Linked DNA regions of Rattus norvegicus. The protein of the gene in region 5 purifies or fractionates together with the protein of the main gene of each other region. This does not show direct contact. Links are inferred from orthologs where the notes say so. Each region holds a gene or a part of one and is shown on either strand. Other genes may lie near its edges.

Region 1 (3,937 bases), on a different chromosome or scaffold from region 5:
AAAGGATCCCCCTTCCTGAGGCCCATCCTGAGCAGAAGCAGACATCCTTTTCAAAGCATGAAGAGAACAGAGCTCACGAACGCACCCCAGTCCTTCTCCCTCATGTACAGTGGTCATGGACCTCCTCAACCAATAGCCAGACTACAGAGGTTACTCACACCTACTGTAAGCTGCTCAGATATACTAAATATGAGTAAGACATGGACAGATCAGAAGCACCGACAGATGGACAGCGAACAGGTTTTATCTCCCGCTCCTGAATAACAGAAATCTGTCACACCTTGGTAGAGGTGACAGACATTACGTACAGTTCTGTTTTCACAATGACATGACATTTCTAGTTTGGCATTTCAACCAAGTAACTAATTCACAAAGTTCGTAGACGATGCTCTCAGGGGCTACAGAACTGAACTGATAATGCTTCTCTGGTTCACTGACGGAGAGATGGACCTGATCAATGCACGGCAAAGTGCCCATAAACACGCAAACGCCACTAACCGTTTATTACGTGAAGGGGTAGGCTCTGTAATCACAGGTGGTTCTAAAGGACTAAAGTGGGTTGTTGTAAACCACAGAACCATCTGCCAGGTAGTAACCACAGAATAATCTGGTCCACAATTTTGTGAGCGATGCCTTAATATTGTCTGCGACAGTTCTGACAACAAAGTACCAGATAACTGTTAGCACTCAAAAGCATGACACGCATGTAAAATGGAGGAAACGTATAACTAGATGCAGTGTCTGCGCTCCTAAATATCTGTGTTTTAACACAGTACTTACGTCCACAGTCATCTTGAATGTCTACGGCAGCAAACGGCAGGTCTGCCAGAGAACCTACAGGGCTGGTCTCCAGGTCCCCCGTCCCTTCCTCTCCTCTTGATAAATGATCACACTTATTGGCATCTATTTCTCCTGTAACAAACCAAAAACAGAAACACGTCTTACTGAATTGTTATTTGTTAAACTCCAACACGAAAACCAAGCCAACTCAGCTAGGTGAATTCAAGTCATAAGGAGAGGTTATTAAGCTCTCCTTTAACAGAGTCCTGGGTGTTTTTTGTTTTGCTTTGCCTTGGCTTGGTTTTTGCTGTTGTTGTTCTTGGGTGAGTGGGTTGGTTGACTGGTTGGTTGGTTGGTTTTGTTTTTTCAAGACAGGGTTTCTCTGTGTAAAAGTCCTAACTGTCCTAGGACAGTTCCTAGACTCTCTTTGTAGACCAGGCTGACCTTGACCTCGTAGAGCTCCACCTGCCTCTGCCTCCCCAGTGCTTGGTGGACATGGGCCACCATGCCCATGTTTGCTTGTTTTGTTTTTGGATAATCTTGTTTCTAACGGTGCATTTTTTTTTTATATTAAACAGTAAACTTCGAAGGCTTTAATCCTTTCCCAAAGGGTAGTGTTGGACATAGATGACAAATAGATCTTCCATCTTTTATTGATAAATTTTCTTAAATCTAAAAGCGGTCCTATTTTTTCACCTATTGACAACGAACTAGCAAAAGTTATTTGCTGACTTGTTTATTGTGTCTTCTCATGTCTATTTTCCATTATGTGGGGCATTTTAATATATTTTGTTTAATATTGTTTTGTTAGGATATATTAATTATATATAACATGTTTCATTGTTACTTTCATACAAGAACAGTATATTTTGATCATAGTCACATGCACACATGCACGTAAACACATGCACACACAGACATGCACATGAGCACGCGCACACACACACACACACACACACACACACACACATACTTCACCTCTTATCCCTTTTTCCTCCCACTCTGTGTTTTTTTTTTTTTTCTTTTCTTTTTTTCGGAGCTGGGGACCGAACCCAGGGCCTTGAGCTTGCTAGGCAAGTGCTCTACCACTGAGCTAAATCCCCAACCCCCAACTCTGTGTTTCTGATTTGCATGAGGTCTTGTACTTTTTCTCCACAAACTCTTCCACTCCATCATTACACTGGAAATATATTTAAAAAGACTTGACTCTTGGGACTAGCAAGACGGCTTCCTGGGTAAAGGCTTTTGCCATGAAAGTCTGGCAACCTGAGTTGGGCCTGCCAGAAACCATCCACAGGTGGACAGAACCAATTCTAATTGTTCTCTGACCTCCATACACAGATCACCCATGCATGCCTTCCCATACACACAATAACAAAAATTAAGTGTACGGCTCTAAAATGCATTTTTTTTAATTCAACTATGAGAAGCAAATCATCCTCGTGGTATTTTGTAACAGCCCTCCATGTCATGCCCTAAAAGCCACGTTTCACACTGGGCCTTTGTTTTCCTGTTATGGGAAGAACACCCACAATGCTGTAGGTGAACGACTAAGGAAAAGACCAGAACTGACAGTTAATCGCTAAGTGTATCTTTCGGTGGTCTCCATCAGCAGACATAAATGTTGTTTGTACTGAACAAAATCCTGGAATACTTACTTAATTTTCGGCCAGTATACCATTGAAGAGTGATTTGCCTTGCGGACTATTTTTAAAAAGTACCTCCTTCTGTCGTCACCCTCTATTTTCAAATGCTATGGCTGCAAAACACATTCCATGAGAATATGTAAATGGCTGGAGAGATGACTCAGGAGTTAAGAGCACTGGCTGCTCTTCCATCAAACCTGGGTTCAGTTCCCGGCACCCACATGGCTAACCGCATGTTTGTCAACTCCAGTTCCGGAGGGTTCAACACCTTCTTAGGACCCCCGAAGGCGGTGCAAACATCTGCTACACAGACATAACCCACAGGCCAAACAGCCATTCACACAGACTAAAATAAATCTTGAGGGGGAAAGGGGAGAAGGGGAACTGGGGGAGAGGAGCTGGGAAAGGGGGAGGAGTTGGGCGGTGGCCTACGAGGCTAGAGAGAAGGTTCGGTGGGTAACAGCACTTGTTGCTCCTTCCAGAGGTCCGGGGTCATTTCTAGGGTCAAATCCCAGCACCACATGGAGCAGCTTACCCACCACTGGGAGATTTAACATTCTCTTCTAGACTCTAGGCACCCACATGCTGCACCACACATACATTCAGGCATGTACACATACAGAAACACACACACACACACACACACACACACACACACACACACACACATGCACACAAAATAATAACAATAAATCTTTTTAAACTATGACTTACAGGGTACTGGGGAACACTCAGAAGTATTCTGCCTCATCGGAACAAGGTCCTAGTTTTAATCCCTAGCGCTGGACACACACAAACTAAAATCAAATGAACAAACAAAAACCTATAGCCTGAAAACTGGTACTGTTCAGACCTGTAATTCTAGCAATAGGGAGACTGAGGCAGGATGCTCTCAACTCCAGGTCTTTCTATGGCGTGGACTCAATGCCAGCATGGACACCATCAGTCCTAGTTTTAAAAGTATATCCTCTAACTCTTCTACCTTCTCCTCCTCCTCGCCGTTTAGCTTTCCGTGTGTAACACACACGCAGTTTGGACTTAAACAAAAGTTTAAAAAGATCAATATGTATCTCGAACCTTTACGATGCTATGTAAAGGGCCCTCACTCACCCGCAGCTTACACTCAGAAAACAAAACAGCACTTGTCAGCCAGGTGTGGGAGCACGTACAGGCTTCTAATGCTAGCACACAGGAGAATTCGGAGTTCAAAGCCAGCCTGGCTAAAGACCAAGATCTTGACTCCAAATAACCAATATCAATGATAAAGCAATTTTTAAAGTGCTTACACAATCAAACATACCTATATACTACCTATAATGTATAAGAAAATTGCATAAAATCAGAATTGGGAGAATAAACTCAACTATGGCTCCCCTAACTTTTTCTCCATCTAGCACTTAGTGATAGGAGATAGTCCCCAATATGATACTGTCATGTCAATATTATTTCCCAAGTCTGCATGCCACGTGGAAAATTCCTGACTTATAGTGGCTTCAAGTAAGACTTTTCAA
Region 2 (3,937 bases), on a different chromosome or scaffold from region 5:
GACATGCAGAGTCCTTCAAAATTAATGAGTGGCTCTATGATTATTAGCAACTTTTCCACAGCAATGGTACATACAATAGTAAATGAAACCTTAGAGTCCATGACATCCTTCAAAGCCACAAAACCTGTTGATACAAATGCAGATTATTTAACTAAAACAATAAAGGGAAAAGCCTGTTCTTTTTCCCTTTGCGACCAAGCAGCACCACAACAGAACAAAGCTAGCAGTAAGGACATGTTTGCTGAGCATTTATCAAAGTCTATTATTAAACATTCCCTGGATAAAAGCAAGTCAGTCCTTCCAAATATAGATAAAAAACCAGTTAGTAAGGAACACATGCTTGTTCTTGGAGAAGAATCACAGTTGACCTTGGGGGAAACTCCCAAATTCCTTGACTTTTCAGATAATTCACCTCAGTATTGTGTTCCAGAATGTAAAGATTCTGTGGGTTTTGGATTTTCTTTAGAGGCACTGCCACCTTGTTCAATGATGACAAGTCAGAAATCTGACTTGAAGGGAGTTATGAAGGATAAAGTGGTAACAAGACACAATCTGACTAATACTGCGCTTGAGCCCTTGTCTTTTGGACAGGAAAGCTCTTTCCGTCCCTCACAGACTTTATCATCTGCAGTGCTTACCTGTGTAGATAGTTTGCATGTGGAAGATAAGCAGAAAATCAGAGACAGAAATGTGATACCTGATACTCCCCCATCAACACCTTTAGTACCATCCCAGACTAGTTCTGAATGGGACATCAAAAAGTTAACCAAACAACTCAAAGGGGAGTTAGCCAAAGAATTTGCTCCCGCAACACCACCTTCGACACCTCACAACTCATCCGTTGGTAGTTTATCTGAGAATGAACAAACTACTATAGAAAAGGAAGAGTTCATGCTGAAACTCATGCGCTCTCTTTCTGAAGAAGTTGAGAGCAGTGAAGGTGAGGAGCACCCAGAAATGGATGTAAAGTCAGAGCATTCAGGGAAAAAAGGTCAGTTTGCAGACGCATTAGCTACACACATCATTTCTCTTGCAACTGAAGTGGCAGCCTCCCACTTAGATCATGAAATCACTCAAGAATTCAAGGTTCAAAACTCTCACTTAACTGTGCCAAGTCAAAGAAGCATGCTGCCTGCTCTAAGTCACTTAGATGAAAGCATACAGACGTGCAGTTTTGCAAGTGATATGGCAGCTGGTGTTATTGCAGAAGCCGAGAAAGTTGCAAACACTAGAAGTTGTATGCTTTTCGGGCATGAGAGGACCATTTGTCATGTTGAAGGTGATCGAGGTAAAGCAGAAGAGAAGCTGGATGTGGAGGATATTGCACATCCAAGAGAAGTAGAAACGTGTGTTCTTTCATTACCAAGTTGCATGCCAGGTCTGACATACAAGTATCCCAGCTGTGAAAGTGTGACTGATGAATATGCTGGGCACGTTATTCAAGTGCTGAAACAGGAAGGTGGCAACAGTGAGCTAATCATGGATCAGTATGCCAGTAGATTGGCCTACCGTTCTGTCAAGTCAGGAGTACGAGAAGCAGCTAAGACAGTAAAAGTGAAGTGCAGTTTGAAACTCTTCCCTATGCACACCTCTCATGTGAAAACAAACAAGGAACTGTTGTTCTCAAGTAAAGAGCATCACCAAGAAGTAGATAAAAAAAGACAAAGAAAAAAATATGGCAGCCATCCTTGCAAATACCAGACATGTGACAGGACACAGGATCCATGTAGAAACGAACTTTCTGAACTGTACAGGTTTTCAGCCTCTCTTGCTAGCAGCATAACAAGAGATGTAAAGAAACAGCTGACAGCACCTAAAGTTGACTTGCCAAAATCCTCAACAGACTGTTGTCTTTTTGAAAAATCTGAATGTGTTGACAACAGAGAGAATGTTACTGGACCAGAAGTTTCAAAGTCGTGTCAACCTTTACAAAACCATGGACTTTGCCAGAACACAAGCAGTTTAAGTGGGTATAGCTGTGGAGAGAGTGCTCACACTGTAGAACAGTATGCTAGGAAAGTAGTGGGTGACACTTTAGAGCTAAGCTTAGGACCTGCAGTTTTCCTTAATTCAGAGACCACAACATCACCAGATAGGATTACTTATGCAGAAAAATTGTCACCACTTATAAATGAAGCTTGCAGATACTGTGACCTTAAGGAATCCCATGGTTGTATCAGAAATTCTGCTCAGCTCTTTTCAAAGCAGGGTCCTTGTGCTAGTGCTAAGCCAAGTTCACATTCAAAACTTAGTAGCATCCGCCAGAAATCAAGAATTTTTCATCTTGATGTTCCTCAAATTCATGTTAATCTTGATAAGAGGGCGGTGCTTGCAGAGAAGATAGTCGCTGAAGCTATTGAAAAAGCAGAGAGAGAGTTGAGCAATACGAGTTTGGCAGCTGATAGTGGAATTGGACAAGATGGCATTAGCTTTGCTGAGAGCCTTACCACAGAAATCATGACCACAGCTATGACAAATGCCGGGCATGCTGTTAGCAGGTAGGTTTCAAATTTTCTGTGGAGTCTTACAATAGAATGAAAAGCTAACTTTGCCCTATAAGTTTTAGGTTCTGTTCATAAAAAGACTACTTATTTTCATTCTAACTTAACAAAAATTTTCTGTTGCATTTGTATGTGGCTTCATATCCTGTGCATGGTTTTCATCTGAAATTTTTGTTTCCCAGTTCCTTTTGAGAGAAATTATTCATTTACAGGGCTGGAAGATGAGAGAAAGGACAATAACATCAATTCACAGAACTAAGAAACAGGTAAATAGAATAAAAGAAACTGGTGAATTTTATTTAAGAATTCAGACTGATATATTTACTACTTTGAGATTAATGTCTCTTTCTATGGTTGAAACAACTTGGCACACATGGTTTTTATTCTTCCTTGTTCACAGCAGCTCTAGAAGAGGATACTAGATGGTCATTCCTAAGCCCTTACTCCCAGGACCCAGCAAATAACGTTGCTATTCATTCTTCAGACTATTCGTTTTCTTCCTTAGACCTGGCCAGTAATGTACCTTATATTCTTCTTTAAGCTTGTTTTTATCCAGGCTGGTATTCGCAGATTCTCTTTGTATTTCTGTTCCTATGTCTCCTTTAAGCGTTGTGCCAGGAGTCTGTAAGTTCTGCAGAGTCCCTTCAGTTGCATGTAGTTCTACCTCATATTTTATAAAGTTAAAATGATTTAAGATTGAAGAATGATTGGTTCAAATAGATTATTCACTAAAATGTTAACTGAATTGTTTCACTAATGTTCCTTTTCTCATAAATGTTTGATTAATGGAAGTAATCATAATGGTAGAATATTATAATAGGATATTACAAACCCATAACGCTCACCAGGGTACCATATGAATATCAAATAGGAAAGCATATGGTAGTGGAATTTTATAACAATAATGGATCTATACTTTATTTTTAATTACCATGAGTCCAGTTACCTAGCAGTCATTACAAACCCTCCTTTTAGCCTCCTCCTGTGAGTCATTTTCTTAAAAATGTGACAGGTAACAAGAAAAAGTGTTAAATAAAATAAAGTTGTGGTAAGATACCTGTGTTTGGGATGCCAAACCTAACCCGGTTGTTAGATCTTAAATGCAAAGTGAGAAGCTCCTTAAAAATGGGAAGGGCAGTTCAGGGCTTATTTTAGATTTTAGGGAGATAAATTGAAACAGGAAAAAAAAATGTGTTCTCCAAGAGCTGGGGGATACTGTGTTCCAAGCAGAGGGCTGGGGCTGCCTGTGTGTATTGCTGTAGAATGACTACTCAGAGGATAGCAGGTAAGAATGTTGACATTGTGAGGGACTAGCTTATACATCCATGATGTTCTGAAGCCAATGGAAGGTTTTGATCAGAAAACTGATACTTTTTCTCTTCATACTTAAGCTTCAGCTGTGTTGACTATATACAGATGGAACAATTGGTTTAGTC
Region 3 (4,546 bases), on a different chromosome or scaffold from region 5:
TATTATTGGACTTAAGTTTGACCGGCCGGGTGGTGGTGGAGAGAAGGCTTCATGGCAAGGGCACCATCAAATGTTCCAGAGGACCAGAATTCGGTTCCCAGCCTCCACATGGAGGCTTTAAACTGCTCTGTAACTCTAGTTCCACAGGATCCAACATCCTCTTCTGGCTTTCCCAAGCACCAGGCACTCGAGTGGTGAATGAATGTCTGTGTGTAGTCAACACTCATACGCATAAAAATAATCTTTAAAAACAATTTGGGGGGTTTACTTTGAGATAGGATCTCAACTTGGGTAGCCTGGGGTGACTTGAAATTGTGGTAATCTTCTTCCCTCAGCTTCCCAAGTGCTGCCTCAGGAAATAAATGAGTGAAACAGTAGATACATGAAATTATATTTACCACTCAGTAAGCATACAGTCTCCTTTTAAAACATAAATTCACATTTAATCACCAGTGAAGATTTTCCCAAGTAATGGTTCGTTCGTGGTATGGCATCTTTTCTATATTTTGTACAAAAATATGCGTTGAAAGTGCTATGTAATGCTAACACTCCGGGGAGGTGAAGGCAGGAGGATCAGGAGTTCAAGGTCAGCTTCGAACTTGACAGTTTGAGAGTTTGAGGCCGGTGTAGGTTACATGAGACACAATCTCAGAATATCAAAATAAACAAGAAACTAAAGTGCCTAGGTTTTAAGGATCAGAGCAGGGCTGGTTAGCAAGTGGAACCTCCTTCCTATCCAATTGTCTGATGATAGTTTTATTTTCTCATGTTGTTGGGAGGAGGCAGTGACTCATGGTGACCACTTCTTCGAAGGCAAACTTTGCAAAAACTCAAATCATTTAGAGAAAAGTCCTATCGACATCACTAAAGCTGCAAAAATGAGAAAGCAACTTGCCCTCGAGGGCTACACATTATCCATATTACTGATCAATTAATGGCCACCTAATATACTCGAAATGCTACGTTATACTAGCAAAGTTACGGGACAGCTCAATTCCTAGGTAAGAGGAACAATGTAACCTCGTCTCTCACCAGCCGCTCCTGCCTTTTCCATGGGACGCACCATCCCAAGGCAGGAACCTGCCTGATACCTCTCCGTCCCGGAGAAGAAGAGCTCTCAAGCGAGCCAAGTTCATTGTGCCTAGCGCTCAGACATGGGTAACCCACCCCAGCCCTTGTGGGACGTAGGATCATCTCCCACGCCTGCCGTGACTATAGTTACTCTCGCGAGAGCGCCAGCAAGGCGGGCCCGAGCGGCGCCGGGATATCAGCGGAGCGCTCCAGACCGCGCCCCTCTTGGCGCAGATAGGAGAGAGGCGCGCGCAAGTCGGGGGAGGGAGCGGCTGGTGGCGCGCACGCGCAGGAGAGCGAGCGGGCGAGGGGGGCACGCCAGGGGGCCGAGGGCGAGGGGCGGGGCCTTGCGTCGCGCCGCGGGCACGTCGTTGCGCGTCCTCAGTATTTAATGTCTCTGTGTTCGCCCGGCCTGGGCTAGCACGTGGGGGAGCGGCCGAAGCGCCTTGCAGCGCTGCGGGGCAGGGCCGCTGGGCTAGGTGGGGGGCCCGGGGGCGGTGGCGGGAGGACTGTGCGCCTAGACGGTCGCCCCGGAGCAGGTAAGTGACGGCTGGCGCGGGCATCCTCCTGCCGGGCCCGGAGGGAGAACGAGTTGGGGTGATGGGGAGCCTGGGGTGCAGGTGCAGAGGGCGACGCGTGCGTCAGGTACTCCGGCGACGGAGAGTCCTGTGCACGGCGCCTGCTGTCAAGCGGTCCGGTATGAGCCTTGGTGACCCGCGCGCCCCCCCTGCTCCTTCCCTGTCCGGCGATTTGCCCGCGGGCTGCTACTGACAGATCGCGTGCGCTGAGCCTGGGGCGCTGCTTTGAGCCGCTGCTTTCCCCTCCCATCCCCCTCATGTCACTGGCCTCTGGGATGGAGATGAGGGCGCAATTCCCCGGGCGCTTCGGTGAGCCTCAACTTTCCCGGTGCCGGCTCACCCTTCTGGGTAGCGAGCCCGAGCGCGTCCCACCCAAGGTCGTCCAGCCTCGCTAGCGTTTACTTTTCAAAGGTCGTGTGTACCCAGTTTGAGCATGGAGAGGAGGCAGCGGGGCTGTCTCTGCCCAGGACCCGGTGCCCAAGGCGGGAGAGGAGGTCCTTGGGAACCCCTGTACTTCCTAACTTCCTAACTGCTGGGCCCAGTTCACTCGCTCTGGGTTTGCCCGGCAGTGGCACAATTCCTGGATTCAGTGCCGCGAATTATTGGAGGACTGTTGCAGCGGGGAGAACGGGATGCGAGACAGGTCCCAAACCTTTTGGCGGTGAAGGGACCATAAGACCAATTAGGACCGGAGGTCGAGGGCTTGGGTGTCCGAAAGGGGATTAGAGTTTGTGGCCCCATAAGCGCGTCCCAAAAGGTGGAAGACCTCTAGCTAGAGGTGTCCGCTGACCTCTGGCGGGGGTGGGGAGGTCCAGGGTCACGTGTCGCCTTCCACCTTTCTTCCCGCCCCAGGACAGTGATCTGGAGGGACTTTGCAAGGGGTCATGGGGGGGGGGGACTTTGCCACGATTGTAGGTAAAAACCTGCGTGTAGAGAAGCCTCCGTACGCGTCAAGGAGCCTACATTCTGGTGTCAACTACTCCCTTGTCCTATCTTTTCCTGTTTCCTTTCTGCGGGTGGGAAGGTGCTAATAGTATTGGGCTGTGCAGAAGAGACTTCCGAGAAACCCTGTGTTAACCCGGACCTTTCTTCTCTGGGAAATGCCTCGAGCGACTAGTACCTTTCTACCCTTGGGCTGTGCTTAACACAAACCCGGTGGACTTCGCTCCAGGTGCGAGTGGAGGCTCCTCAAACCGGTAAGGTAGGGTGTATGTGTAGGGCAATTAGTGAGGTTAAACTGCCTATCTTTCTTTCCACTACTGAAGTTGAGGCTGCTTGGGGTTTAAATGTAACGCCTGCAGTGAAATCGGGGTTGCCGCACCTAGTGTAACCTTCTCTGTCGATTTGCTATTGCTTCCGGAAACCAATAATCAGACGCGCTCCTCTAAGTGCGAAATCCTTCCCCAATTAGTAACCTTGGGGTTTTTGGTTTTGTTTTAAACGCTTTAGAAAATCGAGGCTTAGATCCTTAGGGGTTCCTACCCGTTTCTCTCTTAAAGCCACAAAGCATCTATAAACTCGATGAAGGAGTCGCTCTCGAGTCAGAGTCTTCTCTGATTGGCATTTAAATGGCTCACCTTCAGATTATTTAGGAGTCTTGCAGAGCCCAAGGGTTAGGTTTTTGACAGCTTTTTGCTGTTGAGCTTTCTTTTACTTCTAACCTGTTTTGTAGGTTCTGGGTAATTCCTGGGTGTCGTCTTGTGAATGGCCTTGGGTTAGAGGACATTCTCCTACCCTATGGGCGTGTGTGCAAATCACTAAAGCTTCCGGTCAGTTTGCTAAATCAGAAGGCTTTGTTCTGTAGAGGGGGCCGGTGGGTGAGACCTGATGGAAATCTAGTGAGTTTGTCTACCCGGGGTTCTCCCATCTCCCAGATAATTGTAGGAGTCTCATTCTCACTTGACCACTGCAGGGTGACAGCAAAGATACACAGGTATCAGTTGTACGATGCCTGCTCAGATGCTGAAGGCAGTGTGTCAGGTTTGCAGAGCCTCAGTACTTTAAAGCAATCTGTCTTTGCTACCTTACCAGGTACCCAGATTATTTGTGGAGCTGGCCATAGCTAGTTTGCGGAATAAGGTAGTTTTAGCTTCCGGTTTTCCTTTTCTCATCCTAAACATGGATGGAGATTGGGACTATCCCTGGTATAGGGTAGGCACTTAAGTATGGCGTCCCTCACTCCCAAGGAATCCCTGTCAAATGTCTCTCGGTCATTTGATTAAATATAAAAGCACTCCCTCCCCTAGCCTCTGACCTAGTAACTTGGTTAGAAGGAAAAGGAAGACAAATTGGTTTACCCTCACTTTGCCACCTAGCCTCCTGGGTCAGCATGTCTTGATCGCACCGGCATTTTAAGGCATCGGAGCTCATGTGCCCGGGGAGCTGCCCTGTTTTCCCTGGCTACTCCTTCCTAATGTTCCTTGTGAGTTTGACATGCCTGGACCTCTCTGCGGCTCAGTTTTCTTTCCTGTCTGTAGGAAGTTTGTATCTGGCGTTTTTCTTTGAATAGTAATCCTAGGAACTTTATTATGGGGAGATGCCTGGGTTCTGTGGGCTCCATGTGCCATGGATATCATAATGTTTGAGAGTTACTAATCTCTACAGTGGGGTGTGTTAAGTCCTAAATCTGGCTTCATAGGGCAAATTCTGTTTCTCCTTCCTGGTGTAGTCAGTCTCTCTCAAGCACTTGGGATTGGACATAGGCTTATGCATGGTAAGTTCTGGACAGTTGACCTTTAGGTCCAGAGTGCCCCTCCCCCCTTTTGAGACAGGAGTCAGGCTATGTAAATGAGGCCAGCCTAAACTTGCAGCCCTCCTGTCCACCCTTCCAAGTGCTGGGATTTCGAGCACACACCATCCTTGCTAACCTTCTTGTCATTGACTTTGTTGTCCTCTTC
Region 4 (3,658 bases), on a different chromosome or scaffold from region 5:
CTGTACCGTCCAGTTTTCTAAGCCTCATCTGAGTGCAGAATCAGACCCTCATACAACCTGTCCATTACACATGACCTGGAGCTTCTCACCCAACCTATGTCCCTTCACTGACTGCTCTTGACCAAAGTGTGTGTCTAGGGGTGAATAACAAAGAGAAGTGACTCTTCTTCCACTTGAAATTTAGAGTAAAGGGTGTAAAGGATGAGTTATTGCGACTCCTTAAGTGTCATGGTAAGGTCAGTGCCAGGGCTGTGGATTAGAGGGAGTGCACTGCTTCCTGTGGTTAACTGCTAGTGTTTACTGACATGCTCCCCTGAAAATCCTCTACAGATGGTCATATTTGCTACTTAATAAATCTTAATTCACTGAAACCTGTCATATTTTCATAATATTTTTAGAAAAGATGTAGAACTTAGATTTTTATTAGTTAAAAATCTATACCTTTTTTGCTTAAAGATTCCCTTATCTTTGAAATACAGAACGACATGGAACCTAGCAAAGCTGTCCCACTGAATGCATCCAAGCAAGATGGACCCCTGCCAAAACCACATAGTGTTTCACTCAATGACACGGAGACAAGGAAACTGATGGAAGAGTGCAAGCGACTTCAGGGAGAAATGATGAAGCTCTCAGAAGAAAACCGACACCTGAGAGTAAGTTGTTGGTTGAAAATGAGGTGACTGGATGAGGTATGAGGAGTGCGCTGGTGTCCTTCAGCCTCTCTGTGTTCATAGTTAGTCCTGTTGCTGGTTATTGAACTCGTTTGACTGTTCTTATTACTTGGAACTAGTTAATACAAGATTAAAGAAATGAAGTTTCTGAAATCTGGTAATGGAAATAAAATGGCCAGGTATCTTTAGTTAGTGTTCTAAGATTTTTTTTTTTTTTTGACATTTGATAGGATTATATTCTTTCTCTAAGTTGAAAATGCACCTGCCTATCGAATGGCCTAGCCTAGCTTAACACATTAGCATTGCTAATTAGCACCAGAGTTTGGGCATCCTCTGAGAGGATCATAGCACATGTCACCAGCCTGGGGAAGATGAGGACTCAGGACAGCTATAATGACGTGTGTCACTTCACACATTCCTAATGTTAGAACAGTAAGTTAAACTGTAATGAAGCTGGGGTGCTGGTTGAGGAATGGGGTGAGGATAGAATGGTTGATACTGAGGTAGTAAACATTCTCTAGTTTCTTAGGTTGTATGACCAGCACCTGATAAAGTTAAGAGGTATCTGTAATTTCCCCAGGACCAGGTGACACATACTATCATAACAACCACTTGCTTGAGAAACTGTTGCTTTCCTAGGAGAAGCCAAGGCAGTCACATCTCCTAAAATCATAGGACTATCAGAAACTTAAACTTAGTGCTGTGTGAAACCGTTTTAGTGAGAAGGGGGCAGCTCATTCTTTTACATGGAAGCAAATAAGGTACTTTAACACAAGGAAGCAATTTCCAGTCTGGGCAGGGGCTTCAGAGGGTTCCCGTATGTGGTCTGCATTAGTCTATGCTCCATGGTGGCCCCCTTACGTATGTTCCTAGGTTTTGCTCTGCACATATCAAGACTATGAAAATGATTCCTCCTGTGTCTGCCATGTGGCTTTTGACGTTGTTGAGTATAGGGTGCATTGATAGCCTCTGGCCCATGGCTGTGGCCAATTAAAAATGCCGTGGAGCTTAGTGGAGTGAGTACACATGTTCTGTCAGAACACATTTCTCAGTTTGTGTTTTAATAGTCATTGTTATTGCAGTGTAATTCATATCACATGAACGCTTTTGATTGTCTTGGCGGATTTATAGAATTATTCAGCAGTTGCTTTAATTCAGTTTTAGAGTTTTTCCTAATTCCACAGGTGCCCAAGGTAGATGGGAATTTATTCTTGCCCCTATTCCTAGCCCTCCACGCTCTTTATGAACTATTAGCCCCACTACTCACCTGTGTGTGCTGTTGCTTAAAATCTTTGTTTTCTGTGTTTCCCCCAGGATGAAGGCCTACGGCTCAGAAAGGTAGCACATTCGGATAAACCTGGATCCACCTCAGCCGTGTCCTTCAGAGATAATGTCACCAGTCCTCTTCCTTCTCTTCTGGTTGTAATTGCAGCCATTTTCATTGGATTCTTTCTAGGGAAATTCATCTTGTAGAGTGAAGCATGCAGAGTGCTGTTTCTTTTTTCTTTTCTCTCGACCAGAAAAAGATTTGTTTACCTACCATTTCATTGGTAGTATGGCCCGCGGTGACCATGGCCCGTGGTGACCATTTTTTTTTGTGTGTACAGCGTCATATAGGCTTTGCCTTTAATGATCTCTTACGGTTAGAAAACACAATAAAAACAAACTGTTCGGCTACTGGACAAATTGTATATTACCAGATCATCACTAGCAGATGCCAGTCGCACATCCAGTCCTTTATGAAATTCATAATAAAGAATTGTTCTTTCTTTGTGGTTTTAATAAGAGTTCAAGAATTGTTCAGTCTTGTAAATGTTATTTTAATAATCCCTTTAAATTTTATCTGTTGCTGTTACCTCTTGAAATATGATTTATTTAGATTGCTAATCCCACTCATTCAGGAAATGCCAAGAGGTTTTCTGTGGGGGAAATGGTGCCTCTTACTGTGTAAATTTTCTCCTTTACCTTTGCTAATATCATGGCAGAATTTTCTTATCCCTTGTGAGGCAGTTTGTTGACTGAGTTTTTCATCCTTACAATCCTGTCCCATGGTATTTAACATAAAAAATAAAACTGTTAACAGATTCTTGCTCGACAGCTGGTTTGTGTCTGTCATGTCATTTGTGCTGGGTCGGGTAAGGGTGGGGTGGGTGAGGAAGTTCAATCTGCAGTGAACTAATTTTATTGGACTTTATTGATTTATCTGTTTGCTTGCTTTGCCTTGCTCTGGTTTTTCAAGATAGGGCTTCTCAGTGTATCCTTGACTGTCCTGGAACTTACTCTGTAGTCCAGGCTGGCCCTGAACTCAGGTATCCGCCTGCCTCTGCCTTCTGAGCCTGAGGATTGAAGGTGCACGCTGCTGCCACCAGCCAGCAAAGGAGTGGGGCCTTGTGCACTGCACGCTTTTGTCCTGTGTGGGCTCTTCCTAGCCCTGTGGCTATGTGTAGTTTAGTCTTCAGGCTGCCTTAAGAAATGACAAGATTTAAAGCTAACGGGGATTTTGGAACATCTTAATTGAATTTATGAAATGTAACAGTGCTGTAATCGTGATGTCTCCTGCGTGCCAGCTGACTGAATCCTGTTCAGCTGACTCCATTCTTGCCAGGTTTTGTTTTAAACTTTTCTCAAGGAAGACTAATTCTCCTGTATTTCAAATACTCAGTACATTAAATAATTCTACTTTTTAATGTGTTTCTTAATAATAGCTAAAAAGAATTGTTTTTCTGTTGTGGAAATTAGTATTAGCAAAACTTGGGGATTTGCTTTTTGAAAAACAAAACATTAGTTTTGCAAATCAGTGTTAGACATGTGAAAATTACAGTTTGAACACTCATTACGTATAGATTGATGTTTCCCTGTAGTCTTATGTCTTAGTTTATATCACTTGTACTAAGATAAACTTAGAAAGTACTGTTTTCAGCTGAGAATATAGTTTATCACCTACAGGCGAGTTTGTGTTATCAAAACTAGATTTTGATTTTGTAAGA
Region 5 (3,782 bases):
TAAATTTCAGCACATTACTGTTTGAAAATCTGCCCCCTCTTTTTTTTTTCCCTTTCTGGGTTTTGTAGGGGTCATTTACTTGAGACAGATTCTTACTCTGTAACTGAAGTTAGTTTGCAACTACATAGATCTATCTTCAACATCCCTGCCAGGGGTGGGGGGAATCCTCTGACCTTGGCTTCCCAGGTACTGGGATTATAGGAAGGTACAGAGTATTGATATCATATTTCATAAACAGTTTGGACTTTACAGGGCACCTGTTTAACTTGTAGCTTTGAGAATTTGGGAGAGGGGGAGGCTATTTCAATAGGAAGGAAAAAGGAGAGGGAGGGAAAGAGAGAGAGAGAGAGAGGGAGGGAGGGAGGAGAAAGGAGAAGGAGGGATGGGAGATGCCAAAACCATCAACTCTGGACCTAGGTAGCTGTAAGCCTGAGTCAGACCAACAGTGAGTTACAGTATGATCTTGAGCACATGGTCAAACTACGTAGACATAAGCTTTATTACTCAGAAGTGTGGGGTGAGGGAGAGAATTCAAAAGGGAGCAAGGAATGTTGAGAAAGACTAGATCAGTAGGTCCTGGTTCCAATCTGGAGAACTTGGTGAGGAGACAAGTGTAGGCTCTGCCCACACAGACAGGACCGGTGTTGACACTGGGTGTCTTCCAGCTCCTTCCTTAGTCCTCATTTCTTCAGTCCGCCATGACCTGAGTGCTGAGCGTCAGTCTTCCCTCACAGGTGCTGCTTGGCACACGCCCTCACAGGTGCTGCTTGGCACACGCCCTCACAGGTGCACGTCACAGGAGCGTCGTAAAGGGTGCTGGACACCTGTTTCCTTCCTGTGCTTAGAGATCTAGTTTCTTCTTTATTGTTGTACAATAATTAGCCTGTTGTTACATTATTGTCAGCATTATTGAGTAACCTTGGTTTAGCCCCTAGTACTAAACTATCATACATTTGACTCTATTTCTAAACATACCATGCTTCTATATTTATTCAACTATTTTCTGCCATTACTTGGTATCTGTATTTGTCCCTTGTAAATTTGTTCCTTTAAAAAAAACAACTTACTGTATCACTCATTTTAGAAACTGACGCTGTTCTGAGAAGCTATGCCTGCTGGTCCTCACCATTGTTTCACCATCTCATTATTGTGTTTATTTGAGTCAGTGCTGTACTTAAGTTTATATTTCTGTGACACGTGCTGTGGCTGTTAGTTTGAGGGAGGGTCGTTTGTCTGTCTGTATAGCTTTGGCCGTCAGGAAACTCACTCTGTAGAACATACTGGCCTTGAACTCACTGAGATCCTCCTGTCTTTGCCCCCTGAGTGCTAGGATTGTGAGGAAAACCAGGCCGATCTCTGAATTCAAGGCCAACCTTGGTCTATAGAGTGAGTTCCAGAATAGGCAAGACTACCAGAAAAACCCTGTCTCAAAAAACCAAAAGTTATGGTATATTTTGAATCTTTTCATCCTAATATTTTTAAGTAAAATTTTCTGCTGGTACTCAGCAAACATATTAATTATCTGTATCACATAGTGAATTGTTAATGGTCTTTCTAAAATTGTGATAGAACTGAATTACTCCTGCTTATCTAGAGTTCATGACTCATCCCAGTCAGCAGACACTGACTGCCCAGCAGCGGCCCTGCTGACAGGCCAGGCCATCCTGCGAAGCACACTGCTGCATAGTTAAATCTCGGGTACCGTGAAGTGGGTGTGAGGAGCATGAACGTGACCAGAAGTAAAAACCACCTTAGCGTAGACTTTGGTTTCGGTGTCTTCTCACTTGTCCACAGTGCAGTGCAAAAGTAAGACAGTCTAGCTAGGTGTTCACAGCCTTATTCCCCGGCCACTGTTTATGAACAGTGAAATAGCAGATGTACCTAGAGAAAGAAAGCCCAGGATAAAGAAGTGGTCTGGACAACTCAGGCTATGGGCTGATTCTAAACCACCATCTGGCCAGAAATGAAGCACTTGTGTGCTTGGCTCAGTCTGTGTAGGACAAAATGGCCGTCCCAGGCCACAGTGCCAGGCACCACCTGGAAAACAGAGAGAGCATTAGAATCTCTGTTCATGCTTACTTGTAACCTCCTTCTTTTCATGTGTCTATCATGTTTATAACCTAGGATCTATTGATGTAGTCATGGAAACAATAGCTATCCATGCGGTGATGTGCTAGAAAGTACTTAATGAGATCACTGCTGTATGCAGAAGAATAAGCCCTTGAGTGTTTGCGACCTGCTTTAGTCATTTATTACTGATATAAATTTGGTCAGCTCTGTGCTATAATCTTTAAAACAGGAGTGAAAATGGCCACCTTGGCTTTCCTGCAGTGTGAGGAAGTGGACATGGGGGACGGGACAGACAGACAGACAGTGTGTGATTATAAACCCAATTGATGGCTGTGGGGTAATGCCGCCTGCAGTCATGTCAGCTCTTAACGCTTTTCCTCACACATCGTAGGCATGGGGTAAGTGAGATTAGATGGAAAGACTTTCTTTTCAGAGTCAAAAAAAAAAAAAAAGGAAAATGTTTAGAAGTTGAGTTCTGTGATTCTGTGAGATGTCTCTAACTTAGACTTTTCATAGTCAGAGGTTTTAAGTATGCTTAGAAATTAGAAAAGACATTGAAAGTATAAAATGTGTTAACCTTAGAAGAAAGGAAGTTGAAGAAAAAAATGAAAGCTTTGGAAATGAATTGATAAAAGTAAAATAAAATGGAAAGTCGTTTTCTAGCTGGGCCGGCGATCCGATGCCTCCCTGACCGGGAGCTGCGCTCGTACTTTGCTGCAGTTCCCCACGACGTGAGGTTCTAGCTGACTTCTAGTGGATGGCGCTTCAAGCACTGCCTGTGTTTAAAGATGCGGGGACTCCATTGCTCTGGGTGTTTGGAAGTGTCTAGGAGTTGTTCTTCCTCTTATTTTCCTCCTGATGTCATTACAGGTTGAGGCTCCATTCATACCAAAATTCAGAGGCTCTGGCGATACCAGCAACTTCGATGACTATGAAGAAGAAGAAATCCGAGTGTCTATAACAGAAAAATGTGGAAAGGAGTTTTGTGAATTTTAGGGAGGAGAAGGATTGCCTGGAGCTCACACTCAGTCCTTGCACGCTGTGGAGGTAGAAGATGGAGCCGAGACCTGCTTGTTGGAGCGGGTTCCAATCCCTTCATTCCAGCAACCGTGAGGTCTTTCTTGCGTCATCAGTGTGCGCTCTGCAACCGCCTGTGTACCAAGGCAGCGCTCCGCAGCATTGTCTGTGCCGTGACACAGTGTGCACCAGGTTCCTGGTTTGGTTGTTGTCTCCACCCTCCTACATCCTTCTCATTCACCTCTCTGACCAGTGCTCCCTTTATTTTCTTGGTGTTTCACATGGGCAGTGTTATGGCTGTTTGGTATTTAAAAAGGAAGCTACATGTTGCTTTTTGTAGTTTTGAGCGATATTTTTGCTGACCAGTGGCTTGAAGATAAACTCTCTAATGATTATTTTTATTTTGAGTAGCTTGGACTCAGTTTTGCCAAAACTCTTAGTAATTTGAAGGTGGAATGTCTTATCAGCACGGGAATTTGCATAAATGAAGATAACTTTTCAGGGGTCACTGACGTAGCAGTAAATCAGAGCACCTAGACGAGCAGTGAGGGTTCCTGGACAAGAGGCTTCGTTCCCCTCGGTAATAGTCTTCTCTCCGTGAGACGATAAGTGACCAGACAGATGCCTCATTTGTCAGGAAAGTGCGGGACATGGCTCCTGGCCCCAGCTGTCTCCCTTGGTACCAACATCTCTGT
Region 6 (4,568 bases), on a different chromosome or scaffold from region 5:
TCACAGGATAAGCTGTAGTTAGGATCTAGGCGTCCTCACTGCTTGCCCTGCAATCCTGTCCACACCTTGAAGTATTTGCTTTAATAACGGGATCTGGTGGTTTTTGCATTTAAGTACTCTTCTAGACGTTCTGTATTCTTTTGATTTCTGTTTTTGTTTTACAGTTCACACATGTATACAACATGTTATGGTCATTTTCATCACCTCCCATTACACTCTCTTGTCCCTATGCACCCCTGCTTTCATGTTCTTTTCCTCCCCTCTGAGTTTAATTAGGGTTGTTTAAATGAACGTGGATTGGGGTTATTCAGTGGTCCTCCTCCCCAGCTATCACAGATCTCATGTCTGAACTGTAAGTTTTAAGATGGAAAAAGAACGGAACACTTGGGGTTAATAGTCTGTGTGCCCCATTTAGGGCACATCATTCGTTATTGCCAGTTTGTAAAGAAAGAAAGTGTGTTTAGGGTTGTGGGGAAATGAGAACTACTATTGAAAGAATTTCTAAAGTTATCTCAGGTCATCCTTACAACACCTTATAGGATAGCTTTTTTTTTTTTTTTTTTTTAACGGAGCAACAATTGAGCTTGTCAGTCATGGACACCCACTTGTTCCCCTAGGATCTCAGAATATAGCAGGCAAAGGTCTGAAGCTAGTGATGTCTGGCCCAAAGTGCCCAGTCAAAGGGTCATGACAGAAGAACTGTTTTTACTACCAGGGACAACTGTTCCACATCCAAGCATCCTCCAGTTCCCTTCTCCCTCCCCTCCCTTTTTCCCTCCCCTTATTCCTGTGTAGATTAAAGAAAAGTGAAGAAGTCCTGAGAGTGGGAGGGGTTTCAAGGCAGGAATAGCTGAAATCCCAATTCAGTCAGAACCTTTGTTGGGAAGGGAACAACTGTCTCTTCTTAAAACATATTCCCTGGCCAAGAAGTTTAAAACATGGTTCCAAAGTGCTAAGATGTTGATACCAGGAGCTAAGGATCTGGTTTTAACGGATAGTAAACTTATTACTTTGAGCAAGTCATTTCATCTCTCTAGGTCTCAGTTTACTGATTGTTCATGTACGAGTCCTAATAGTGACAAAATTCCCATGAAGTATGGATGATACATCTATAGGCATGCGGCTTCAAACTCGGCTGTAAACCACTGCTTGTAATAGCGCTTCACAGGTGGTACTTTTCTAAATCGAGGCATAACTCAATTATCTGCGTTTCAACTAAAGGAAGAAGCCTTTTGGGAACAAAGAGTCAAAGCGCGATTGCGGGGTCATGTGTCTGGAATGGCAGCAAAGAGACTGGTACTCTGAACTGTCTGACCTCCCGCTTAAATTAACTGATTCGGGCGGACTTTTACCCTCAACAAATATGGCGCTCTTCTTGGCTTCGGCCCGATTGCCCTCACACACAAAACATGGTTGCCGCTTCTTTTCTCCTAGTATTGCAGGCTCAAGAGCACAGGTTCTGCCCTGAGTTAAGATGGCGCCCACTCAAACTCTCCCTGCCCGGTTTTGGGTCTGTGCTAGGAAGCTTCACGGTGCGTGCCTGGATGACCCCGCCTTGTTTCCGTAGGAAGAAGCGCCGGGAAAGATGGCGGCGGCTGCGGTTTGAATTCCAGCGGCGCCGCTTGACTGAGAACAAGAGCTGGGTTGGAGGGGGCGGGACCTGGGGAACCGAGCGCGCCGCGACTGCGGGGTAACCAGTGGCGCTGCTGCTGCAGACACCGGTGCCACCTCTTTGTGTTCATGATGGACTCAGGGATGGAAGAGGACGTCACCCTGCCTGGGACCCTCAGCGGCTGCAGGTGTGGCCCTGGCTTTGGGCTTCGTGGTAACTGGGTGGGGGTTTCTATAGTGGGTCACACCCTGGAGGCCTTCCGTTTGCTTGGGGACGGTCTCTGCTGCCACCCGAGTGTGGTGGGACCTGGGTGTGGAGCCAGCACTCTGTTCGACTATATGTTGTGTGTTCTGGAGTACACTTTGAAGAGGGTGTGTAGGATAGTAAGGGGCTTTTTTGAAAGAGTGGGAGGAGATGGGACTAATTAGTAGGGGGTGGTTGGAACTGGACCTTAGAGCGCTTGGTGGGTGATTGATTCTTGTTTGGGGCTTTGCATTCATTATGGGGAGTGTAGTTATTTTAGACTTTTACAGGGTCACACAGTAGCCATCCAGGACAGAGGCAACAGTGCCTTGGTTGGAGATGGACAGAATTTATCAAATCCAGCCTGGTAAATTGACTTCTGCTTTGAAAACAAGATGAGAATGAAAAGCCAGTTCTCTGGGCTGGTGTACTGGCTGACATACACCAGTGTTGAAAAGGATGATACTATGCTAATCTACCGTTGCTACTGCTACTACAAGTTGTGTCTTCTATTCAGATCCCTTGGGACCAGAAATTGGATTATTTTGGACATTTAGAATGGGTTGTGGGCATGAGAACTAAACCACCCCAAGTCTAGCTTAGTAGATCTGCTAATACTCTCCTTTCCTTTCTCTCTCAGCCTTGACTGGACAGATGCTGCATTCACTCCTGGTCATTCATCTCTTAACCTGCCCTAGGCCCTCCAGGTGCCTTGCCATCTTCAGGATGAAGTTCTGTACTGTGGCTTCCAAGTTTCTCTCTAATCGGCTGCATCTGTTCTCTAGCCTCACCCCCACCCCATCTATGGTTCCCAACTCTGGGTCTTCTCCAAGCCCTCAGCCCTGTGCCTGACTGCCAAGCTCTGTCAGGAATGATCTTACCGAATTGTTTCTTGGTGCCAGGCTATGTACGTGCTGTTCTTGCTGTGTCAGTTGCCCTTCCTATGCCTTTTGCCTTATTGATACCCAGGTTCCACTGCTAGGAAATCCACACTGACATTCTCACCCTTGCTTGGGCCTTCTGTAATGTTCTAGCTACCCTTACCTGTCACTGTCCTAACCTGGTTGACTGTGACCAGCGTAGAAATACAACCTATGGTGTATATTTAATTAAAAACTTTCTTGTGAACTGGGTGTGGTAGTATATGCCTTGAATCCCGGCATTCGCGAAGTGGAGGCAGGTGGATCTCAGACTTTAAGGCCAGCCTGGTCTATAGAGAAAGTTCCAGGATAACCAAGAAACCTTACACAGAGAAACCCTGTCTCGAAAAACCAAAACAACAACACTAAAAACTTTCTGGTAGTCACAATTAAAAAAAAAAACTAAGAAAAGAAACAAGTGAAATTCCTTTCTTTGTGGTGCTGGAGGTTGTACCAGGGCCTCTCACACCTCCTCAGCTAGTGCTTTACTACTGAGCAGCAGCACCATTGGAAGCAGGTGAAATAATGGCGTATGCTATTTAGCTTAATATTTCCGTATGTGATTTTAGCAAAATCCATAGGAAAACTTGTGATAAGATATTTTTATCTTTTAATCTTCCTTAGTCTTTGAATCTGGTGTGAGTTTTTACACTTGGATTGCTTCTCACTTTGGGCAAACTTCATTTCAACCTATACCTAATGGTTGTGTGTTGGGCGGTGGAGGTATTGGTTGTTAACATACACTCACCAGATGAGCTAGAGTCCTGGTTTAGAACAGGAACTAGATTTTGTTTGTAACCCAGTTCTTAGCCTAATGTCTGGGGCAGAATAGGAGCAGAGTGGCATTTGTCAAATCACTGAGTGAAAAGTGATTCTTTGAGGGGCTGCTTCTCTCCCCCTGTTACATGTGGGATCCTGAAGCTCAGCTGAAATGAATGGTCTTGGGTCACAGAAAAGTCTGTGATAAATCAGACTTAACTCCAAGCTTCCTGAATCCAAAGTCTGTTCTGCCTTCTGACTAGTCTGAACTAATTGAACTGAGTATCCAAGGGGCTCTTGCAGAGCTTCTGGCTTTGAACTGGCCCTTCTGGGCTATTCTGGGCTGGATGAGTCCTCATTAGGTGACCACAGTAGGAGACGATAGTTCCTATGATGAAATCATACTTTTCATTTTAATATACTGCTTTCTGAGCACCCTTCTCAGGGGAATTTGCAAGCCTCATGTTTATAGCCTAAACTGAGCACAGTTTGTCCTTGAATTTTTGTTGCATTAGGTCAGGGTGTACCTGACCCAAGCTTATTGAATATCGAGTTGCTCTAGCACATGGCCAATAAGTGCTTGCTACTGTGTTAGGAGCAGACTGGAAGAACATGTTTAGCCATAAGCATAGTTTGATTTTCACCATCATGTATGCCAGAAGAAACAGTCTGGAGAGAGGATGGAAGGGTGAAATCAGATGAGGGAGAGGGCTAACTTGGATCCAAGGTATTCTTATACTGGGAAGCTTTAGGAGAACCATGAGTCCTTAGTTAGCAAAGTATTTGCCTTGTAAAAGACCTGAGTTTGATCCTCAGAACCCACAAAAAAGTGCTAGACATGGTGATGCATGCTAGAGAAGCTGAGATCAGAGAATCCCTGGGTCTGGCTAGTTAGCCAGCCGAGCCTAAATCTGAGAAACCAAGGGCCCCGAAACAAGACAAGACAAAACAGCCAAGGCAGATGGCTCCTGAGGAGTGACTCCAGGTTAACATCTCGGGTCCAGATGTGTGAACATCCTTGGACGTGTGCCCAC
Region 7 (3,937 bases), on a different chromosome or scaffold from region 5:
TGAGATGTATGGGAAGCAGATAGTGCAAATGAAACAAGAATTAATGAAACAGCACATGTCTCAGATAGAGGAGCTCAAATCCCAGCACAAGAGGGACTTGGAGAACACCTTGAAGTCAGACGCAAGCACTACAGTCAGTAAAGAGCAGGTAAACTTGATGAGTGCGGCCATAAGCGAACTCAATGTAAGACTGCAGGATACTCATGCTCAAAAGGAAAAACTCAAGGGAGAGCTCGGGGCAGCTCTGGGAGAAAAATCAGCTCTACAGAGTCAGTTTGAAGACCTGTTAGAAGAGGTCAGGTTTTTACGAGAGCAAGTGCAGAAGGCTAGACAGACAATAGCAGAACAGGAAAACAGACTGAGCGATGCGCGCAAGTCCCTGAGCACAGTGGAAGACTTAAAAGCTGAGATCGTTGCTGCCTCCGAGTCCAGAAAGGAGCTCGAGGTCAAGCACGAGGCTGAGATTACAAATTACAAAATAAAACTCGAAATGCTAGAAAAAGAAAAAAATGCCGTGCTAGACAGAATGGCGGAATCCCAAGAAGCAGAGTTGGAGAGGCTGAGGACACAGCTCCTCTTCAGCCACGAGGAAGAACTGTCCAAACTGAAAGAAGACTTAGAGGTCGAACATCGAATAAACGTTGAGAAGCTTAAAGATAATTTGGGCATCCACTACAAGCAGCAGATAGACGGCTTGCAAAATGAAATGAATAGGAAGATGGAGACTATGCAGTGCGAAACAGACAACCTGATAACTCGGCAGAATCAGCTAATTCTGGAAAACTCAAAGCTAAGAGATTTACAGGAACACCTCGTTAACTCAAAATCAGAAGAGATGAATCTTCAGATCAACGAGCTGCAAAAAGAGATTGAAATCCTCAGACGAGAAGAGAAGGAAAAAGGTAGCCTTGAACAGGAAGTCCAGGGGCTACAGCTTAAAACTGAACAACTGGAGAGACAACTGAAGGAGAAGGGAGATGACCTTCAAGAAAAATGTGCACAGCTGGACGCAGAGAACAGCGTTCTTAAAGATGAGAAGAAAGCCCTTGAAGACATGTTGAAAATGTACACTCCTCTGGACCAAGAGGATCCCAGCACACGCAAGTCGGAAGACCCGAGGTGGCAAAAGGAAGTAGGGATGCTGAGGAAGGAGAACGAGGACCTTCAGCAGCAATGCCTTCATCTAAGCGAAGAGATCGAGAAGCAGAAGAATACCTTTGCGTTTGCTGAGAAGAACTTTGAAGTTAACTATCAGGAGTTACAGAGGGAGTATACTTGTCTTCTCAAGATAAGAGACGACTTAGAAGACACACTAGCTAAGCAGGCCTTGCAGTATGAAAGTAAGCTGAGCGCGCTGGAGGAAGAGCTCCATTCGCAAAGAGGAAGTCCGACCACGCCACCGAAGGGGGAGAATTCTGGGTTTGCTGCCAACAGAACTTTCCCATTGGAGCCGCTGGAAGTCGGCGAAGTTGTAGAAAAAGATACAACAGAGCTTATGGAGAAGCTGGAAGTGACCAGGCGAGAGAAGTTGGAGCTCTCAGAGAAAGTCTCTGGTCTTTCTGAACAACTAAAGCAGACACATGGTACGATTGATTCTCTAAGTGAAGAGGTCAGAGCCTTAAAGCAGGAGAAGGAACAGCTTTTATTGAGATGTGGAGAGCTAGAACTCCTCACTAATGCTAATGGGACAGAAAATGCATCCGTCTGCCCTGTGCAGAGGAGTCCTTACCAAGCTGGGCCTGTGATGGGGACGGTCAGGGATTCTCAGGGACCTATTTCTAAAGTCAGCGAAGATTTGGCTGAAGAATCAAAACCAATGACAGAAGATAAAATTCCCTTTAAAGAAAGTGGGAGAGAACCGTTGCTTTTGCCAACAAGAACAAAAAAACCATCTCGAGTGACAGTTGAACCATGTGAAAGTGAAAAACTCCAGCAAGAGCTTTATGCCCTCAAAGCCGAGCAGGTATGTCCATGTGCTCTCAGAATCACAGGGAAACACAGATTCACACACAAGCAGCCCACTTCCAGGAAGCAGATCCACGCCCTCACTGGGAGGGAAGGTGAACCCTGGCATGGGGCTCTCAGTTTCTGTCAGTCAGGTGTCAGTTTACCTAAACACTGTTGCCTCTCTTTCAATTAATCTCTTATGCTGATCAGAAAATAAGCTAGGGTAATCCTTTTTACATCCTTTTCTCCTTCTTAAAGAGAGAAGTTACTGTTGGGAGACTTGGTCTCATTTTATATCATAATCACTTTGCTTTAGTATCCATTATTTAGAGCATTTCATACTGATGTCCTCTAGTATGAAATTTCAAGTTTTCAGTTAGAATCCCACAATTGTAAAGCAAAGCAAAACAAAAATCCTAAGTTTTCTGCTGCTCTGAATTACTCAGTGCTCATGGAATCATATTTCTGGGCGCTGAGGCTTAAGGCCTAGAGTTTTTGAGTCTTGATACCTGAGTGAGGAAAAAAAATACCGTTAACTCTTCAATATAAGGCAAGGTCTTAAAAATGCATATAATAAATATTCTAGATTCATTCTGCTGCTGTGGTAAAGCTGACCAGAAGCTGTTGTTGTAAAATTATATAAAAAATACTGTCTTTTACCCTGCACTAGATCTGTCACTGTAGATATCTGTGATATGTGATATCTGATAGAAATCTTCATCTCAGTCAGCAAAGCCTCTCACCCGCTCTGCTCCATCCCATGTCAATGGCCTGTCTCTGAGCCTGGCCTCAATCCCTCTACACATTCAGTTCCCGAGGCGGGCTGCCACCATGCAGAAGTATAGATCCTAATTCCGTGGTGGCTCGGTGTTCCAGCTGCCGCATACGCTCTTAAACTTAGTTCGTCACAAGAAAGAACACACAATAGCCTTTGATCTAATCAATAAGATATAATTGCCCACCTAAACATACAAAGCCCTGTACACATCCATCCCTCAAGGACATTCATAACAACCTGTAGATGTGCAGAGTGGAACCTTGGGAGAGGAAAGGATTACAGGTGGTTCAGACTTCCAGGTCACAGTCCAGAAGTGAGGTCAGAAGCTCAATCATAAAACCACACAGGAATGACCCACAACATAGCATTTTATCACCATCCCATTGGCAAAATAACTGACTTACTGATACGGATCTAAGGACGTAAGCATCCACATTTATCTTAGTTCAATTATATAAAATATTATTTGGCTACTAAAGCTGGGCCTGTGCATCAGCTCTGACCAGCAGTTACGTTCCTGACGGCAGCGACACTTGGAAACAGGCAGAACGAGTATTTCTTAAGCTTCCTGAACCAGGTCAGAGGGCAGACACCATGGACTCGTGTCAGCAAGAGCTGCAGATGAGTCTGATGCATCCTGGACGCTCACTCGCCAAGCGTTCACCCACTTGTCGTAGGTGCTTATCTGTAATAATTAACCACCTTTTGATTTAAAGGACCCAAGCTTGCGAAAGTCTAGTTGGTCTCCACCAAGGGAAGTGCTCCAGTTGTGGATTGTTCATTTATGCTGCCCTGCAATCAAAATGAATGAGCCTGTCGCATACACGCATTGATGTCAGAAGCATTTTTATTGATATTTTTATATTTGATAGAAAAAATGCAAAGGAATTTACAAAATGAGTGCCTTTGCATCAGTACACAGAAATACACACTATAATGTGCTGTTTACGTGTATTGGGGAAATGATAGTAGACACATTTCAGATTTTTTTGGTAACAGTTCCTTGTGAGCAAGAAATAATCAAACATCATGAATTTAATTTTGTCTCTAATGTTTTCTTTCTTATTTTAAGGAGCTTTAGATAGATAGAAGAAAAAAATGACAAGACATTGGGATTTATTAATTTGAGTTTTGAGTACATTGGTATTTATTTACATTATTTTCATTTTGTAGCTGTGAAACATTATTTAAGAGATTCTTGCTAGCTATACC

The links.
Region 1: the proteins of Prkacb (region 5) and Akap7 purify together in Homo sapiens (affinity purification with mass spectrometry; 4 studies listed by BioGRID and IntAct, counting the BioPlex papers as one, with this or other methods). This does not show direct contact. The link is inferred for Rattus norvegicus from reciprocal best matches to the Homo sapiens genes PRKACB and AKAP7.
Region 2: the proteins of Prkacb (region 5) and Akap11 purify together in Homo sapiens (affinity purification with mass spectrometry; 5 studies listed by BioGRID and IntAct, counting the BioPlex papers as one, with this or other methods). This does not show direct contact. The link is inferred for Rattus norvegicus from reciprocal best matches to the Homo sapiens genes PRKACB and AKAP11.
Region 3: the proteins of Prkacb (region 5) and Akap1 purify together in Homo sapiens (affinity purification with mass spectrometry; 4 studies listed by BioGRID and IntAct, counting the BioPlex papers as one, with this or other methods). This does not show direct contact. The link is inferred for Rattus norvegicus from reciprocal best matches to the Homo sapiens genes PRKACB and AKAP1.
Region 4: the proteins of Prkacb (region 5) and Vapa purify together in Homo sapiens (affinity purification with mass spectrometry; 4 studies listed by BioGRID and IntAct, counting the BioPlex papers as one, with this or other methods). This does not show direct contact. The link is inferred for Rattus norvegicus from reciprocal best matches to the Homo sapiens genes PRKACB and VAPA.
Region 6: the proteins of Prkacb (region 5) and Cdk5rap2 purify together in Homo sapiens (affinity purification with mass spectrometry; 4 studies listed by BioGRID and IntAct, counting the BioPlex papers as one, with this or other methods). This does not show direct contact. The link is inferred for Rattus norvegicus from reciprocal best matches to the Homo sapiens genes PRKACB and CDK5RAP2.
Region 7: the proteins of Prkacb (region 5) and Akap9 purify together in Homo sapiens (affinity purification with mass spectrometry; 5 studies listed by BioGRID and IntAct, counting the BioPlex papers as one, with this or other methods). This does not show direct contact. The link is inferred for Rattus norvegicus from reciprocal best matches to the Homo sapiens genes PRKACB and AKAP9.

Annotation. Positions count from the first base shown.
Region 1 is NC_086019.1:21,912,812-21,916,748, reverse strand, and holds part of Akap7 (A-kinase anchor protein 7 isoforms delta and gamma), read right to left. Parts: intron 913-3,937; coding exon 781-912; intron 1-780. UniProt on the Homo sapiens protein: Probably targets cAMP-dependent protein kinase (PKA) to the cellular membrane or cytoskeletal structures.
Region 2 is NC_086033.1:60,337,443-60,341,379, reverse strand, and holds part of Akap11 (A-kinase anchor protein 11), read left to right. Parts: coding exon 1-2,498; intron 2,499-2,683; coding exon of another isoform or gene 2,684-2,693; exon of another isoform or gene 2,694-2,713; coding exon of another isoform or gene 2,714-2,726; exon of another isoform or gene 2,727-2,767; intron 2,768-3,937. UniProt on the Homo sapiens protein: Binds to type II regulatory subunits of protein kinase A and anchors/targets them.
Region 3 is NC_086028.1:74,148,238-74,152,783, reverse strand, and holds the start of Akap1 (A-kinase anchor protein 1, mitochondrial), read left to right. Parts: upstream 1-1,417; 5' UTR 1,418-1,610; intron 1,611-4,546.
Region 4 is NC_086027.1:112,623,901-112,627,558, reverse strand, and holds the end of Vapa (vesicle-associated membrane protein-associated protein A), read left to right. Parts: intron 1-479; coding exon 480-653; intron 654-1,985; coding exon 1,986-2,144; 3' UTR 2,145-2,768; downstream 2,769-3,658. UniProt on the Homo sapiens protein: Endoplasmic reticulum (ER)-anchored protein that mediates the formation of contact sites between the ER and endosomes via interaction with FFAT motif-containing proteins such as STARD3 or WDR44.
Region 5 is NC_086020.1:238,299,423-238,303,204, reverse strand, and holds the end of Prkacb (cAMP-dependent protein kinase catalytic subunit beta), read left to right. Parts: intron 1-2,940; coding exon 2,941-3,066; 3' UTR 3,067-3,078; downstream 3,079-3,782. UniProt on the Homo sapiens protein: Mediates cAMP-dependent signaling triggered by receptor binding to GPCRs.
Region 6 is NC_086023.1:88,972,914-88,977,481, reverse strand, and holds the start of Cdk5rap2 (CDK5 regulatory subunit-associated protein 2), read left to right. Parts: upstream 1-1,584; 5' UTR 1,585-1,740; coding exon 1,741-1,799; intron 1,800-4,568. UniProt on the Homo sapiens protein: Potential regulator of CDK5 activity via its interaction with CDK5R1. Negative regulator of centriole disengagement (licensing) which maintains centriole engagement and cohesion. Involved in regulation of mitotic spindle orientation.
Region 7 is NC_086022.1:31,112,723-31,116,659, reverse strand, and holds part of Akap9 (A-kinase anchor protein 9), read left to right. Parts: coding exon 1-1,963; intron 1,964-3,937. UniProt on the Homo sapiens protein: Scaffolding protein that assembles several protein kinases and phosphatases on the centrosome and Golgi apparatus. Required to maintain the integrity of the Golgi apparatus. Required for microtubule nucleation at the cis-side of the Golgi apparatus.